Caenorhabditis elegans: one gene and its partners. The protein of the gene in region 3 purifies or fractionates together with the protein of the main gene of each other region. This does not show direct contact. Each region holds a gene or a part of one and is shown on either strand. Other genes may lie near its edges.

Region 1 (7,581 bases), on a different chromosome or scaffold from region 3:
TAAACTAAATCGACTATGAAAACAATGATCTTCAATTCAAAAAGCCTTTTTTTGTTTAAAAAATTTTAATTTATAAAAATTAATGCTTCTAAGCTTTTTGTACTGAATTAACTCACTCAATGAGTCGTTTTCTCTTTCTTTGCAAATGTTCAGATGCAGAATCAAGGAGCATTGCTTTAGAAATTGCATTTCGGATCTCATCATCATTATGTATTAAAACATGCTGAAAAACGTTTCAGTTTTGATAAATGATATTTTTTGATTCCTTACATTTTCCGATCGTATCACAGTTCCAACTTCTCGTTTCCATCTATTTATATCAAAAAACATAGGATCAGAAGATCGAAGGTTTTCCGTGGTAAAAGATGAATGTGGCTGAAAATATTTCAAATTTTAACGTATTTTTTCATTCAAAACCCTACCGAATGAACAAGCCCTTCTTCGTCGTCTTCGTCCAATTGATATTTCATTGGAAATCTGAAATTTTATTATAAAAAATATTCAATGAAAAGTTAACTCTGTATGGTTAATATTTTTGCAGAAAAAAATAACAACGCGCACAATGTTTTAAAGAGAAGACGCAGAGAAAATGAGAGGCATCAGACATTATGGTTTTAGAAGAGTGCAGACATGAAAAGACGAAAGATGGGAGCGCAAAGAGAAAATGAAATAAAAACAAAAAAGGCCACATGGGTTGTTGGTTTTGTAGAATTGATAGAGTAAATCGGCAGTTTACAGAATCTCGCAGTTTAATAACTTTAGGGGGTTTTTGGCCGGAAAAAAGCATTACTGCAGATTCCCAATTATTGCTCAGAAGCGAAATTTCGCGCTAAAATACAGTACCCGGGTTTGAATTTAGTTTTTTTAAACATCTTTTTTAACGAAAAAAATATCAAAAATTGCGCAGGAACGGAAGGTTGAAATTACAGTACACTCTTAAGACGCACACTATTTTTCATTTAACGAGAAATTGTCGTGCCGAGACCGAATACCGTGTTCTTGGCTCAAAAATCGCAAAATTTTGGGTCTACGATTAGAAACAATTGAAGGTCGCGACATGTAAAGCAATAATTTCAAAATTCTTTCGATTTTTGCGTATTTTATCTAAGATTTCTCGAGTTTTTTATGTCTTGAATTTAAACGTTAAGTTCTTAAAACAAAAAATATTTAATCTGATTCACAAAAAATTAGCGAAAGGAGGCTTGAAATATTTGAGATGCTTCAAAATTTCTATAAAACAACTGACAGTAAGATTACAATTCCTTGCGAAAAAAATTATTTTACTGTATTTAGAACTTTTTATAATTTCTTACCCTTCATGTCTCCATGATTCTTCTTTAATTGGTGTTGTTGAAAACATCTGAATATTTTAACTGTATTTAGAACTTTTTTAATTTAAAATAAATTTAGAACCAATGTTAACTCAAAAACAACATGCACAACGAAGAAGAATTGGTTGGTTCCATTATTTATTTCGAAAAATGAGAAAAAACTGAAGTTGAAAAAAGCGAGAGAATAGAGATTGAACTTTGGAAAAACAGGAAAAATCTCGAATCAATCAAGTGGAAAGGCTCATTTAATGAGCTTCACACTTTTGGAGGATGAAAAGCACAAAAAGAGAAAGCTGAGACAATAGTTATCAAAATACAAAAAAAGTTTGATGAATCGAGAGATTGGTGAAAAATAGACTTTTATAGATCAATTATCGATTATTAAAGTCTTATTAGGTGAGAAAATTGGTTGAAATGAAGAATGGTAAAACGATGAACAAAATTAGATTTTCTTTTAGAGAAAAGATTTTTTAAAAATTGATTGCTGCTGCCCGGCCGACATCGAAATGAAGATGATTGCTTTGATTGAAGATAGTGCTGAAATAATTAAATTTATTAGTTTTTTCTTGATATCCTCATTTCACAGATAATTGAATAATTGCATTCAACGGCACATTAAAAATAAGCGCAGAACCCCTTTCCGTTTCTCGTTAAATATCATCATCTGTCAATTGACCATTTTGGACCTTTTTTGTCAGCGAGCAGAAATTGATGACCAATTACTTCAAAAAAGGATATTTTCTGTGGCTGCTCGTGACTTTTTAGTATAAACAATTATATTCTCAAGGTCCTTCTCAGCTGCCCTTTTAGAATATAAACAGTTCAATCTACCACACCAGACACCCTACGAACCCCTCTCAACCACTTCTTCCGACTCAAATTACTTAGGATCGGTTGGTAAGGTTGACCTGTATGATGACGACAGGAAACAAGTCACGATGCAGTACGGACCATAGAAGAGACGGTAGACAATTTGAAAGGGTCACCGAGTCAAGGTCTTCTCGCTTTTTTTGTACAGGACTCGCCTCCGAAAATGTGAATGAGAGGTATAATCTGATCTACAGTCTCCAATTCCACGCCTATTTGGGATCCTCAAGCGAGAAGGAAACGGAAGACGAGAAATTTAAAAAAAAGTTTGGCGGAGGACAAATACATCATTCCAAGGATTCGGTAAAAAAAATCAATGTCCAAACTTTGATCCTATTGTTTTGTCTTCCGAGAGAATCTCAAGAAATTTACGCCTTTCAGTTAGAAATTTTCTAAAGAGTTTCTAGAACTAACTCAAGCGTTATAAAATTAAAATCAAGGTATGTCTACATAGAGAATGTTTGCACCTTTCTAATTATAGAAAGGCGGTCCTTTTGTGGTGCTCAGTGACCCATAATTGTCCATCGCTTCCTAATTATTGCCTCTCTCATTTGTACTATTTTCCCTCAATAGAGAAAATAGAAATGGGAGAGACTTGGCCCAGTTCCAAAAACAAAACCAACACTTGTCTTCTCATTAAGAGCACGCCGACCGATGGAATGTGAGCACACGCTTTGTAGAACGAGAAGTCCAATAGTACACTTTTCCACTTCCGCGCTACACTAAACGGTCCAAAACCGAGACCAAATAAGGACTCTTTATGCATATAAATCCGTTACTCAAACACACATCCCGCCAGACGGTCATCGTTTTTGTACTACACTTACTTTTGAGAGCACATTTCTTCTTTGAGCTATCATCATCGTTTCGAGGAAGAGACATTGAATATTTGGAATGAAGAGGCGGAGGAAACAGTTGAGATACCGGAACACGATAGTGGAAAAGAGAGATGCGGACTAGAAATTACAGAAAGATAAATACTTCTTCCAGATTTCTAATTTGCAGCGACGGCAGCCGGTGCACTAGTCTCTTGTTTCACTGCAACTGGCTCATCAGCGGTATCTGCAACTTCTCCGGTAGCTCCCTCTTCTTTTGCTTCTCCGGCTCCCTCCGCAGCTGCAGTCTCATCCTTTGGCTCTTCTACAGCAGCAGCAGCTTGCCGATTTCTCTGAAACAAGATAAATTAGCTATCAAAAATAAAAACAAAAGTTAATTGAAAATTAATCTAGAATATAACTCACTCTGAAGAATCCTAGGATTGTGGTCAACAATCCGCTCTTGACGACAGAGTTTGCAAGCTGAACAATGGTGTCAACATTGAATCCTTCCTTGTCAAACTTTTCCTTGGCCTGAACTCCGAGTTGCCAGAGAGTTTGGAAAACAGCTGTGTATCCAGCTTTTCCCTTTTCAAGAAGATCTTCGTTGGTTACTGGAGCAGCCTCGGTTCCAAGAGTCTTTTGAGCCCAAGCTCCGAAGGCATCAATGTTCTTCTTCTGAACTTCTTTCTGGGCTGCAGCATCGGCGTTTTCCTCAGCGGCAGCGACTTCAACTGCTCCTGGCTGTAAATTTTAATTTGTTTTCATGATTAAGATCCCTCACTTAATTAACTCATATAATAGATCTCAAAATATTTCCGAATTCCGATCAATGTCGGAACGGAAATACCGCTAATTGATAATGCACCTTCCGACCTATTTGCATATCACTTATCACATTTTATCATCATCATCATTACCCCATATATTCTTATCAGAAAAGTGAAATTAACATACCTCAAGAGCGTTGGCCAGCTTGGCGAGGACATCTCCATCTTTGAAGAATCCAATGAATTGGTTGCGAGTCGTGGCCTGATCTTTTCCCGGAATGGTCTTTCGCTCTCCTTCCTCTGGGATAGCTGTCTTCTGAACCCAGTCGATAACCTGGTAGTTGGCCTGAAAAATAAAACTTTAATGACCAAAATAAGAATCCGAAAAAAGAACGTTCCAATGTAATTTGTTTTCTCAGTGCAAAAAAGACGCAAATATCCAATACCAGTTCTTTCTGCTATAATCCCATGAGAGCACTCTCAATGTTGCAAGCCTCCATATAAGAGATCATTCTCATTCGTGCTGGACAAGAAAGACGGCAACCACTAAAACAGAAGTGCGTTTGCATCAGAATTAAGAAACAAAGAAAGGAGGAGCAGAGCAGCAGCGCGGTTCAACCAATGAGTTCCTTTTTTTTTGGGAAAGAAGATGCAAAAAGGACGAATTCATCTTGTGTACCAACAAAAAATGGCTGTCGAACTGAACCAGCAATTGTTCAGGATTAATGTCTAGGGAAATTGACCCAATTTTTTGTATAGCTTCTAAACTTTCTTCTCTCAAAATTCCTGCGAAATTCAGACTTTAAAAGAGATTTCATACATGCTAATCTTTGTGAATCTCATTGTATAAAACAGATGTTTCGAAATTATGATGAAATATAAATACTTTTCGTCATGTATTTTTGTTTCCGTTTCCATGGGGATTATTTTTGTGAGTATTCAAAATTTAAAGTCGAATCACACATCTTTTTATTTCTAATTCGTGTAAATATCCTGGTCACCAGACAACATCGATTTTATAACTTTTACGAACGTCTGTCAATTTCTAGGATATCTACAATATCTGCCTCTCATTATCCTAAAGAGTTACGCAATAGCGAATCCGGTGCGCGCGCACACACAGTTAGTTACATTACAACACCATTCTACGGGGTCTGCAGCAATACGAGCGTCGGAACGAGGAAAGATTGGCACAGCTGCCCTTTTACAGAGTGCCGACGCACATCGCCAATCTCGCCGGCGCGATCAAACAAAAAACCTTGCAAATACCAATGAGCGATACATTGCAAATGTTGATGAATAGACTTAATGAACTTGTGAAGGAGTAGGGGAAAATGCACTTGTTCCAAACTTTTTTGTGAGCTCAGGATCAAATTTCAGATAGGTTCTTGTTAGTTAAAAGTACTTATGCATCGTTTTGGCCAATTCCTAGAAATTTTTAGGCATTCCAATGAATTCACCTATGATTCTTAAAAAATCGAACTGCGGTAATTTGAATTCAAAGGTAACTGGTGAGAATGGGGGCTAATCGGAAACAGCTGTTATGCTAGGGTGAATACTAAACCTGCGTTTCGGTTGCTCTAGCGAGAATACCATCTGCCCTGAATCGTTTTAGTTATTTTGAAAGTATTCTTACCTTGTGAACAGCCTGTGGAATCTGTTGAGCAATCCATCCGAGAACGTCTTCCTTTGGATCCTTTGGTGCTTCTGGCTCTTTTGGAGTGGATGCTTCCGCATCACGGTGCTTTCCCCATCTCTTGTTGAAAGTGAAACGCCGAGCAACACCTCCAGACTTCTTTTTCTCTTCTGGAGCTGCAGCAGCAGCGGTGGCAGTTTCTCCTTCTGCAGCAGCTGGGGCAGCAATCTCAGCGACAGCTTCTTCTACTTTTGGTGCTTCTTCAGTAACTGGTGCTGGAACATCGACTGGTGGTTCGGTGGTTGGAACCTTTGGAGCCTTGTCTTGCTCGGCGACCTCCTCGATCTTCTTGATTTCCTCAGACATAGTTGATGTGTTGGTTAGTGACGAGAGAACTGAGACTGAAAGAAACTCATTAATTTTCGAGGTATTCGGAGAAACAAAGAGCTAAAAATGGAGAAAAAATACGAGAGAAATAGACGAGTTGGAGAGGAGAATAAGAAAAATGAGAAAATGGAATGGGGAAAAACAGAAGACTACCATGAAAGTCAACTCAATTACGGGGGTAATCGAATAGAGTCTCCAGTAGCGAGCCGCTAGTAAGCCGGGGTAGCACATTTTGGTAGGCAAAAGACAAAACCGGAATGAGCAAAAGCTTCTCTCTCGCTTGGACACTAATTGCACCCGTCTCTGTCGAGGACTCATTTTCTATTCTAGAACCGTCTCCAAGAATGGGGTTTTAGTGGATATAGATGAGAAGAACAAAAAAAGACGAAGAACTCAAGTGAGACAATGTAAAAAGAAAGAGAAGACGATGTTATAGTAGGGACAATAATGTAAGACTGATTGTGTGAAGAGACTAGATGGTACGCGGAACGCTGAACGCTGCGGGGGCTAGAACAGTCAATCGATGCTCAAATTGCGGGAAAAGGTCATGAAGAGAAAATGCGCGTTTAGGTTATGATTTAAAAAGAAGAACTAGTCATATGCGACTTGAATTGAATCGAAGAATAATGCTAACGAGATAAGAAGCGCTCACTTTTCCTGGAAAACATTCGTCTGGACGAAAAAAGGCAATAAATGTAGGAAGGTAGAGTACTAGAAGGCTTAAGAAAAGAAACCAAAAGAGCCTTTCACTATTCTGGAATAACCGGTTCTTACTCAGCAGGTGAGGTGGCGAAAAAGGGTCATTCAATCTCCTTTTTTCCTCTATTCACATTCATTTCATAACGACAATAAGTGTGTCAAAAAGACTATTCAGACGAGAGAAAGAGACGGTATGAGATGAGAGGCGAGGGTCCACTAACACCATTTACCTTTTTGAATGGTCTACCTCCGTGTCATTTGATATATCGAACCGCCGCCCGCCCCCTATTTGCTCTCGATTCTGATTCAGTCGTTGCTGTTCTCACCTACACTAAATTTAAAAATGAAGCAAATAGAAGTGAAATGAACAGAAGTCCGAACTTCAGAGCATGAGTCATTCATGATTTCGAAATGAGAAACATAGGAAACATAGATTACGAAATCGAGAAAAAGGCGGAGTCAAAAAGAGAACAAGAAATGTCCAGAAAAGACGAATGGAATGGATGTGGGCGACGAAATGAATGAATATGAGAGCAGGGGTATTGCACACATTTTGCAGTGAAAAAGAGGACAAGGCCAGTGGTCCAATCGTCAACCATTACCAGCACCATCACCACACCACCCAACCGCAATGATGCACACAGTGGCAGCAGCCACCGAAACGTCCCTTTCCATTGCGGCAGCAGCAGCGGCAAATGTGTCCCTCTCCCGTCTCTCATAGCGGACGGAAAATTTGGGCGGAGTCTACTGACTTGTGGGGCGGGTGTCCGCGCTGGATGGATGTTTGCGTGTGCTGCTTGAGTGATGAAATTGAAAACAGATAATTTTTGAAGGTTCACAATCGAATGTAACCATGACAACCAAAATTACTGGGTATTTGAGAGTTGAAAGCATTGCATCGAGTTCATACCAATAAAAAGGTTGAAGAATTATTTAGCGCTATTTTATCGGATGATAGAACGGAATTATCTAAAGCGGAAACAATTAGTACGGTAATAACTGATAAAAGCGGTGCAATGCTCAATGTTCATGGCGGTTAGGAAAACTGATAATGCTCTGATAATCATTATCATTTT
Region 2 (4,531 bases), on a different chromosome or scaffold from region 3:
TTCCTCTTTTGTAACGTCCGATGACGTGGCATTTATGAAAAACAAAATTCTACAGTAATCCTACAGTAACCTTACATTTATGATATTACGGTAGGCCAATGGTACTACAGGGCCACGATCCTATATGGTTACGGTAGGCAACGGCTACTCTAGGTACCTATTTATACAGTTTCAGGTCGTGGCTCTACAGTATCATTAGCCTACAGTAGCCCTACCGTATACCTACAGTACCCCTACAGTACCACTACAGAACCTTGACATGATCCCCCACCAACTTCCAACCCAACACCTCTTCTATAGACAAAAGCTAAAATTTCCCAAGCTACAGTAACCCTACGGTATACCTACAGTACTACTAAACCATCACACACATCACAGAACTGGCAGAATATATGAACCTTAAACTACAGTAATCCTACAGTAGCCAGAATCGTAACCCTAAGCCTACTACAGTACCCCCGCAATGTTACAGTACTCCACAGTAACCCTAGCCTACTAAAAAAAATATAAAAAAAAGTACTAGTCCACATCTGTATAGTAATATTTTATTTCCAAAATTAAAAAAATCAATTTTTACCAACAAACTCACCCATAATCATAAAAATCGCAGAGCCCTGAAAATCTAGGTGTCAGATAGAAATTGATAATCGACGTGGCAAACAGTAAAGTGAACAGCGTCAGAAAAAACACGCAGATTTTCAAAATTTCCCAGGATTTTTTGACTTTCGGGTGCATTTTTCCTGGAAAAGTAGGGAAAGTGAAAGCTTGAGCAAAATTGAAACTTTTTGCGGGGTGAATTCTTGACAAAAGGAGGAGGAGTACGGGGTAAACGGATTGTTTTGTGGATTGTGTGAACCCGCCGGCAAATTCGATTTTAGGTTGGGATTTCTTGGGAAACCTTTTTTTTCAGGAAAAAGGAGAAGGCTAATGCTTTTCAATATCTAAAATATCCATTTCACGTTTGAAAGATGATCTGCAGATACTGTAGATAGATTTTAGAAACTGTAGAATAACTGTAGTTTGACATAAACGGTATGCTGCAGGAAGGTACAGTTGCTAGAAGTACGATGTGGGAACTGTATGGGTACGTTACGGGTACTGTAGGGGTACTGTAGTCATGCTGTGGGAGCAATGTAGGGGTATCATAGGTGTACTGTATGATTACTGTACTGCAGGGTACTGTAGGGGTACTGTAGTCATACTGTAAGGGTAATATAGGGGTACTGTTGGCTTACTGTACTGCAGGGTACCGTAGGGGTACTGTAGGTGTATTATATGGGTACTGTAGGGGTGATTTTAATGCAAAAAACATTTAAAACCTCTGAAGTTGGGAAAAAATCTACAAAGAGACTACAATTTCACATGAAAAATTAACAAAACTCGAAACTTTCTGTAATTTCCACTGATTGAGCTCTACGTGGCCGTGAGATGTAAAGAACTCGGCCACCAATTTTGTATTGTTTTTTTATTAAAAAAAAAACTTCACAATTGAATATTGGAACAAAAACGGTCAGAATTATCAACAATATAATTATTATCCAGAAGGCCTTCAACACGAAAAACCTCGTAGTGGTGGTTGATGGAGGGCTCCAGGTGCAGTTGCCAGCCGTCTAAAAATTAATTTTAATTTTGACACGAAAATCGAGAAATTTAAATGAAAAAAGTTTTTTAAAAATTGAATTTTGTTGATTTTCACCCAAAAATTTCTAAATTTTCATATGCAATCAGTGGGAAAAATGAATTTTTCTGGTTTTTTCTCAATATTTCTCCATTTCAAACCTTCTTTCAACACGCCATTCCGGGAATTCCGCGCGTAAAAAACCCGCTTCACACGAAAATGCACCAAAGCCATTGAGCACATTGCACAGGGCTCCGTGATGAGGAAAACGTCGGATCCGGTGCCAAGATAGTCATCGCCGTGTCTTTTCGGCAGATTTCCAACCATTTCCATTACCGGGTGGCCGAGTGGATGGGAAGACGGGCGGCCCGTGGAGAGGAGCTCGTCGTTCTGGAATTTTTTGGATTTTTTGGATTTTTCAGGCGGTGCAAATTACCTGCACAGCTATACAACCATCCCCCAGCCGAGCAGCTTCGCCGAGCCATCGATCCACGTATTTTTTCAGCGATTCTGTGAGAAAAGAGCCGTCTAGAAGTTGCTCGAGCTCATGATTCGGGTGAAATCCTGTTGGCCAGAGCTCCTTAGCCACTTGGAATTGCCGTCGGGTCTGTGGCTTGGTTCTCGCGACTTTTACTGGCTGAAAATTGAAAAATTAGGAATTTTCAGATTTTTTTTGATTTTCTACCACTAAATCTTCCACCCGAGCTTCTGCGTCCTCCAACTTTCCCACGATAAGCTTTGCGACTTCCTCCGACTCTGCTATCAGCACACTTCCGTCTTTTCCGACTCTTTTCAAGTGTGAAAGCTCTTCTGGAAGTTCTGGAAGTCGCCTGATAATCTGAAAATATAGAATTTCGACTAATTTTGGGGAAAGGGTAAGTTTCCCTACTGTCCCAATAATTTTCTTGTTTTCAAGTCGTAAAGCTTGGAAGGAAGTCGATGGGATTGTGTCGCAAGTGAGAGTTGAATCCAGAATTGGGTAGACTTTAATTCTGGAATTTTGTTGTTGTTTTTGAGGATTTTTGAGGATTTTTATTTCAAAAATGGTTTTTACGGCTTACCTCATCGTATCGATTTTTCTAATTTTTTCCGGAGGCTCTTCCAGTGACATTTTCCTTGCAAATCTGAAAAAAAACTGTTTAAAAATAGATAAAACGGCAAAAATTAAATAAATAAATCCAAAAAATAAATATGGAAAAAAGTGTGCGGCGGCATTGCCTGCCTCCGCCCCGCCCACATTTCCGCGCCGCACCCGAATCATGTGCATTTTGCAGCTGTTTATTTATTTTTAATCCCGTCACTTTTATCAATTTTCGTCGGTTTTTCCGAGATTTCTCACATTTTTTCAATTCTCAATCTTCTTTCCACCTTATTTCATCGATTTATTGCGAAAATTCCAGAAGAAAATGGGCAACAATCAGTCTGGAGGGCCCGACGCCCGCTATGGAGGCCCAAACGACAAGGCGGGCCTCCGAAGGCATCGGATGATGAGCGAAACGGCAAAAATCGCCGGACAAGTACTCCCGAACCCGGATGGAGGACCGCCGATGATTTTTGATGTGAGATTTTCACAAAAAATCCCAAAAATTCCTTTTTTAAATTATTTTTCAATATTTTCAGGACGGAAATGAGGACAAATCCGGCGAATGCCCAGTGGTATTCCGCTGGAGTTTCACACAAAACGCACAGCCACGTGTCGTCCATATCGTTGGATCATGGGATAACTGGCAGACGCGGATCCCGATGGTAAAGTCGACAAACGACTTTTCGACAATCATCGACCTGCAACCCGGACAATACGAGTACAAATTCCAAGTGGACGGCTCGTGGGTCGTCGACGATAATCAGGGAAAGGCACAGGACGTTCATGGAAATGAGAACAATATGATCAATATTCAAGACTCGGATTTTGCAGTTTTCGAAGCGCTGGATGAAGACTTCCAGTCATCTACAGCCGGGGAGGTGCTCCGTGGCGAGTCGGAGAGCACCAAGAATCATGATACTCCGAATGACAGGTGAGAAAACTTCAGAAATGTTCACTAAAAAACTAAAAAAAACTTTTTCAGAGAGCTCGAAAAACTGCGCTCCTTCACCCAAGAGATCCCATCAATGGATATGCTTCGGAAGGCAGCCGGACCACCAGTAATTCCACCACAACTCATGCAGGTGCTTCTCAACAAGGAGACGCCCGAGTCATGCGATCCGAATGTGCTGCCGGAGCCGAATCATGTGATGCTCAACCACATGTACGCGCTCTCCATCAAGGACAGCGTTATGGTGCTCTCATCGACGCAACGCTATCGCAAGAAGTTCGTCACCACTCTTCTCTACAAGCCTGTCTAACTGTTTTTCTTGTTTTGTGGGGTTTTTTGTTGAAAAAAATCGAAAAAAATGCCCTGACTAATCAGCGATTAGCTCCGCCCACTATTGAACCAATCATACTGCGGTACGGTTTTTCCTATTTTTAATTCAAAATTTCTTGATTTCGCTCGATTATATTCTTTTAAAAAAAGTGTTTTTAACTATTTTTAAATAGAAATCTACCATTTTTCCCAAAATATAGCCTTTTTTGTCTCTATTTCTGAAAAAAATTAAGCAAAACGACATAAACTTATCGTTTTGCATCATCTTTTTTCAGGAATAAAGACAAAAATTGTTGTTTTCCGTTGCAAAATTCGGGGAAAAAAACCGAAAAAAAATCGATTAAACACAAAAAGACAGCAAAAACCGCGCCATGGGGTTGTGATTGGTTGAAAAGTGGGCGGAGCTAAGCCCTGATTGGTCGTGCTTCAAAATTGAAAAATCTCGATTTTTTTGGATTTTTTGTAGAAAAATCTTGATTTTTCAAGCTCCCGAGACCAAAGTTCCAAAATTTTCTCCCACTCTTTAGTTTTTGTATTATAGTCGCCTCTT
Region 3 (4,941 bases):
CGAAATTGCACCAATTACATGTAAGGTAGGCATATAATAGGCAGGCAATGTTTCAGGACATGGTGCCGGCATTTTTTTGCTGAAAATTTTTGGGAATTTCTTGGAGAAATTTGACAAAAAACTGCAAGATTTGAAAAAAATGTGACTGGAGTTCAGTGATCTGGTTCATGATTTTTTTTTTCGTTTTTTTTTTTCAATTTTTTCACCTGCAAAATTTGTATATTTGTATAATTTTCTTTAAAAAAACTTCACCTGTTTTCGCCGGCAGAACCAATTTTCTCGTGAAAATTTGATTTGCTGATCCCGGGTGAATAGCTTAAAATTTAGATTCTCAGACTACTTGTAGAAAATTGTAAGTTTGAATTTTGAACCTCTCACAGAGAAAAACCTATACTCAATACTTAAAACTTGGAAAATATAAAAATTTTAGTTTTTTTTTTTTGGAAAAAAGTCACTTTTCCATTCAAAATGGTAGTTTTAAACAAAAAAATTTGAATTCACCGCCTATAAAAACCTATATACCCTTCTCGGGGTCGAGCCCTGACCTTTTGCGCCAAAAGCAAGCCTCTTATCCACTGCGCCATGCAGCAGGCGCGCGCGGTACACTTATGGCGCAGTGGGTAAGAGGCTTGCTTTTGGCGCAGAAGGCCGCGGGTTCGAGTCCCAGAGAGTGGCTACAGGTTTTTCTAGGCGAAAAATTTGAATTTTTGGGTTTTAAATTGCCTAAAACTTAATGGAACAGTGAAATTCATAAAATCCACGAAATTATTTTGCAAGTTATTTTTGGAATTTATGTGTTTTTCTCAAAACACTCAGGCTTCTACAAATAATTTCAAATAAAAACCATAAAAATTAGGCCAAACCCTGGTAAACTCGAGAATTTCGATCTTCAAGTAGATTTTTTTCAATTTTAAAGTTGAAAATTCAATTTTCACGCCTAGAAAAACCTATATACCCTTCCGGGGGTTCGAACCTGTCCCCTATTGCTCTATAGCCAAACCGTTTACCCACTGCGCCATGCAGCTTGCGCGCGCGGTGCTCTTACAGCGCAGTGGGTAAGAGGCTTGTTTTTGGCGCAGATGGTCGGGGGTTCGGATCCACGAGAGTGACAATAGGTTTTTCTAGGCGAGAAATCTGAATTTTTAGATCTCAAAGTTTTTAAAGCTTATTTTTGAACTGAATTTTGACAAAAGGTGTTTAATTTTTCGGTTTTTTGGATGGAAAAATGTTAAGGTAATATGTTGTTGTTGCTTTTCATTAACTTCTCCGAATTCTCACGGAAGCAATTTTCATTTACATTTCATTTCCAAGTATCAAAGTTTGAGAATTTTTATTTATTCCAGTAACTTTAGGTATCTAAAACTTTGAAAACTCAATGATAAGTCTTTCAAATTTCAAAAACTGTTGAAAAAATGTAGTTCCGCGATTTTTAAAAATTATGCTCAAATGGCTCAGTGGGATTTTCGACGACTACCAATCTGAAGGCCGGGGTTCGAGTCCGCACTGTGGCACAATTTTTTTCTGTGTTTTTTTTTAAATTTGTCTTTGGTATATCTACTCTCCTAAACTCGAATTTCATAGTCGCAAGCTCTGAAAATGTTCGGTTTTTGTTGAAACTGAAAAAATTGAAATATGCAAAATAAATATTTATAGTCAAAAAAAAAGTAAATTTTCAATCTTTTCTCTGGAAAATCGTTCTAATATTGTGTGTCTTCCTTTTCTTATTGTCCGCTCTCAAATCGTCCAGCAGTTTTTTGATAGTCTCTTTCTGTTTTGAGAGCTCATTGAGCACATGTGTGAATTCTGACTCCATTTCATCGTTGGGTGGTGCTGGAATTTTTTTTGATTCAAATGTTCTGATGAAGAATAGGAAAAAAAATAAAAATTGTAAATTTTTCAAACATTTTTTTTTTCGAAATTTCAAAAAAAAATTTTTTTTTTGATCAAAATTTTCAAAATTTTAATTTTTAGAAAAAAGTTTAAAATCATCCATTTTCAGTCTATTTTAACCCATTTCTTTTCAAAAATTGCTCAAAAACTCACATTTCAGGCTGCCAGCTTCTTCCTTTTTCATGCTCTTCACTTTTTCAGCTTTCTCCACAATTTCAGGCTTCTCCTGCTCCTCTGTGACGTCATCAGATTTAATTTTTTTAGTTGCTGGCTCCATATCTTCCTCTGCATCTTTTTCGTTTTCATGTGCACGTTTTATGGAGATTTCAGACATTTTTGGGCTGAAAATACAGGAAGTTTTGTGAAAATCCAGCAAAATTCTGGCGAAAACTCGTCAAATTTTCAGTAAATCAATACAAAAGTGAGGAATGAGCACTCTGCGGACAGCAGATGGCTTGGGATTCAGCCTCCGAGGGAGAGAGTTAGAGAGCATGCGGAGACGCAGACGGTGCGAGACGGGGAGAAGTGCAACACAGCCGTTGGTGTCAGCTGGTGGCTTGGTTCGGAAGGAGAACTAATTTATTTACGGGAAATTAAATTTATGGTTGTGAAGACCCAAAGATTGGTGGAATTTAAATGAAAAGTTCGAAAAAAAAATCAGCAAACCCGATTTCGTGTCGATTTTCAGAGTTTTAAACTAAAAAATTCAAAAATCTCGTCTAGAAAAACCTGTAAACCAGTTCGGGGCTCGAACCTGTGACCTATTTCACCGAAGTCAAGCCACCTACCCACTGCGCCACATGGGAACCGCGTGGCAAAAGTGGCGCACCGCGCGCCTGCCAGCATGGCTCAGTGGGTAAGCGGCTCGTCTCTGGAAAAATAGGTCGCAGGTTCGAACCCCGGTTGGGGTATACAGGTTTTTCTAGGTGAGAAATTCGAATTTTTGAATTTGAAATTGCCAAACTCAACGCAAAACCTCGTTTTTTGGAAAATTAAAAGTTAAAAAAAAACCAAATTTTCCGCATTTTTTGCTGCACATCACTTTTCTCAAAAAAAAATTTGTTTTTTGCTTTCTTTTAGTTAAAAATTTGTCATTTTCCCATGTAACTCGAAAATATAGCCAGAGAAAAGAAAATAATGTGTGAAACCCCCCGGAAGCTGAAATTGTCACGTTTTTCTGGAAACTTCTTGTCAGGCTTCCGATATTTTTCTAGGATTATTATGCAGCATAGGCTAAAAGAGCGAAAATCTCAGAATTTTTTTTTTTTTCCAAAAAAAAAATTGGATTTCTTTGTGTTCTTTGTGTGGTTTTTAAGTGGAAAATTAGATTTTCAGGAAGGGAAATTGCATAAAAATTGGAGTTAGCATATTTTTGTGGGTTTTTAAGCAAAAATCCTGAAATTAAAAAAAAATTGAATTTTCAAATTTTCCAAAAAAAATTTTTTTCGAAATTTTCAAAATTTCCAGAATTTTTTTTTTTCGCAATCTTTAGAAAAAATGTATTTTTTTTGTTTGAATAAAAGCTATATTTACGTCATTTTTAAGCCACCAAAGCAGCAAAAAATGTGTATAATTGCGTGTTAGCTTATTATTTGTTACTTTTTAGGAATAATTCATGTTTCCTAATTTTTCCCACCGAGCACATTCAATTTCCTGCATTTTCCAGATTTTTAGCACAGCTGTTTATGAAAATTGAGAAAAATTTTGCGAAAAAATTAAAAATTCCCACTAATCCCTTTGTTTTTCACTTTCAAGCACTCTTCCGGATATTTTTCAGTTTTTTCCTAGTTTTCAAGCATTGGTGTACATTTGACTATTTTTCTAAAATATGAAAACTAAAATTGACTTCAAAAATTCTTTTTTTTAGAAAAAAAGAAGAAATAATGGCTAAAAACTCCAATTTTCAGCTCACAAGCCATGAAAATTCCAAATTCTTACCTAGAAAAAACTAAACAGCCTACCTGAGAATCGAACCAGTGACCTATTTTTCCATAGCCAAGCCTCTTACTCACTTAGCCATGCGTGCGCGCGCGCAATTCCGGAGAAGTAGCCAGGAAGGAAGGGGTTGACGCAGTGGATAACAGGCTTGCCTTTGGGGAAATAGGTCACAGGTTCAAACCCCTGCTAGGGTATATATTTTTTTCTAAGTGAGAAAGTAAAAAACGCTGAGTAAAAAAATTCATTGAAAAAAATTATTTGCAAATATGAAGGTTTTGCAGAGATCATAACATTTAGTTCGATTTGCATATTGTAAAAAAATTGTTGAAACTGTCAAAAGTATACAGTTTTAACTCAAAATTCCACCTTCCACGTGGATTTTCTAAGTTTAAAAGTAAACAATTCGATTTCTCCGCCTAAAAAAATATATGTACCCCCGATGGGATTCGAACCTGTGGCCTATTTTACCAAAGGTAAGCCTCTTAGCCACTGCGCCATGCTGCTAGGCGCGCGCTGCGCCTTTTTTGCCACGCGATTCCCATATGGCGCAGTAGGTAAGTGGCTTGGCTTTGGTGAAATAGGGCACAGGTTCGACCCCCTGATAGGGTATATAGGTTTTTCTAGGCAAGGAATTCGAATTTTCTAATCACAAATCTTGATTTACAGCCACAAATTCAGTTTTTTGAATAGTTTTTTCTCAAATTTCTCAAATTTTTAGTCTAAACATTAAAATTTCAGCATGTCGATCTCAGTCCCACTGATCTCCTTCATTGACCAATCAATGCTCACCGATGAGCAAACCTATCTCGACGAATGGCAAAACTCGTCGCAAATCCTCTTCTACTCGGTACTTTTCGTTGGTTTTTTCACGCTACTTATCATATTTCTAAGCTTTTTGTATATTCACGGCAAAACTGGCAAAAATGTGCATTTTCTGCCATTTTTCAGTGCGATTTTAGCTGGGAACTTTGTACTTTTGGGTACTTTGGTGGCAAGTGTAATTGTGGAGAATAGCGATGTGATTTATGGTGAGTTTTGCGATTCTTTGAGTGAAAAACTAAGAAAATAAGGTAAAAACGGTGTCTAGTTAAACAAAAATTAGGAAAAAACCAG

The links. The genes of interacting proteins can lie anywhere in the genome.
Region 1: the proteins of C54E10.6 (region 3) and chdp-1 fractionate together in Caenorhabditis elegans (co-fractionation; one large-scale study listed by BioGRID). This does not show direct contact.
Region 2: the proteins of C54E10.6 (region 3) and Y47D3A.14 fractionate together in Caenorhabditis elegans (co-fractionation; one large-scale study listed by BioGRID). This does not show direct contact.

The regions. Positions count from the first base shown.
Region 1 is NC_003279.8:6,283,212-6,290,792, reverse strand, and holds chdp-1 (Calponin homology domain-containing protein), read right to left. Parts: upstream 5,821-7,581; 5' UTR 5,786-5,820; coding exon 5,420-5,785; intron 5,106-5,419; exon of another isoform or gene 4,894-5,105; intron 4,446-4,893; exon of another isoform or gene 4,221-4,445; intron 4,130-4,220; coding exon 3,971-4,129; intron 3,758-3,970; coding exon 3,440-3,757; intron 3,367-3,439; coding exon 3,193-3,366; 3' UTR 3,026-3,192; intron 1,869-3,025; 3' UTR 1,455-1,868; downstream 1-1,454. Other genes in the region: C10G11.6 (Verprolin-like), read right to left, coding at 117-223, 271-375, 423-477, 1,314-1,360.
Region 2 is NC_003281.10:11,234,127-11,238,657, forward strand, and holds Y47D3A.14 (CMP/dCMP-type deaminase domain-containing protein), read right to left. Parts: upstream 2,743-4,531; 5' UTR 2,730-2,742; coding exon 2,680-2,729; intron 2,611-2,679; coding exon 2,508-2,610; intron 2,457-2,507; coding exon 2,304-2,456; intron 2,256-2,303; coding exon 2,055-2,255; intron 2,009-2,054; coding exon 1,780-2,008; intron 1,611-1,779; coding exon 1,483-1,610; 3' UTR 1,455-1,482; downstream 1-1,454. Other genes in the region: Y47D3A.34 (AcidPPc domain-containing protein), read right to left, coding at 1-49, 590-735; aakb-2 (Association with the SNF1 complex (ASC) domain-containing protein), read left to right, coding at 3,025-3,177, 3,239-3,633, 3,685-3,961.
Region 3 is NC_003283.11:18,806,438-18,811,378, forward strand, and holds C54E10.6 (Protein MNN4-like), read right to left. Parts: upstream 2,293-4,941; 5' UTR 2,225-2,292; coding exon 2,044-2,224; intron 1,831-2,043; coding exon 1,673-1,830; 3' UTR 1,632-1,672; downstream 1-1,631. Other genes in the region: sri-10 (G protein-coupled receptor), read right to left, coding at 1-72; C54E10.3 (G-protein coupled receptors family 1 profile domain-containing protein), read left to right, coding at 4,568-4,856.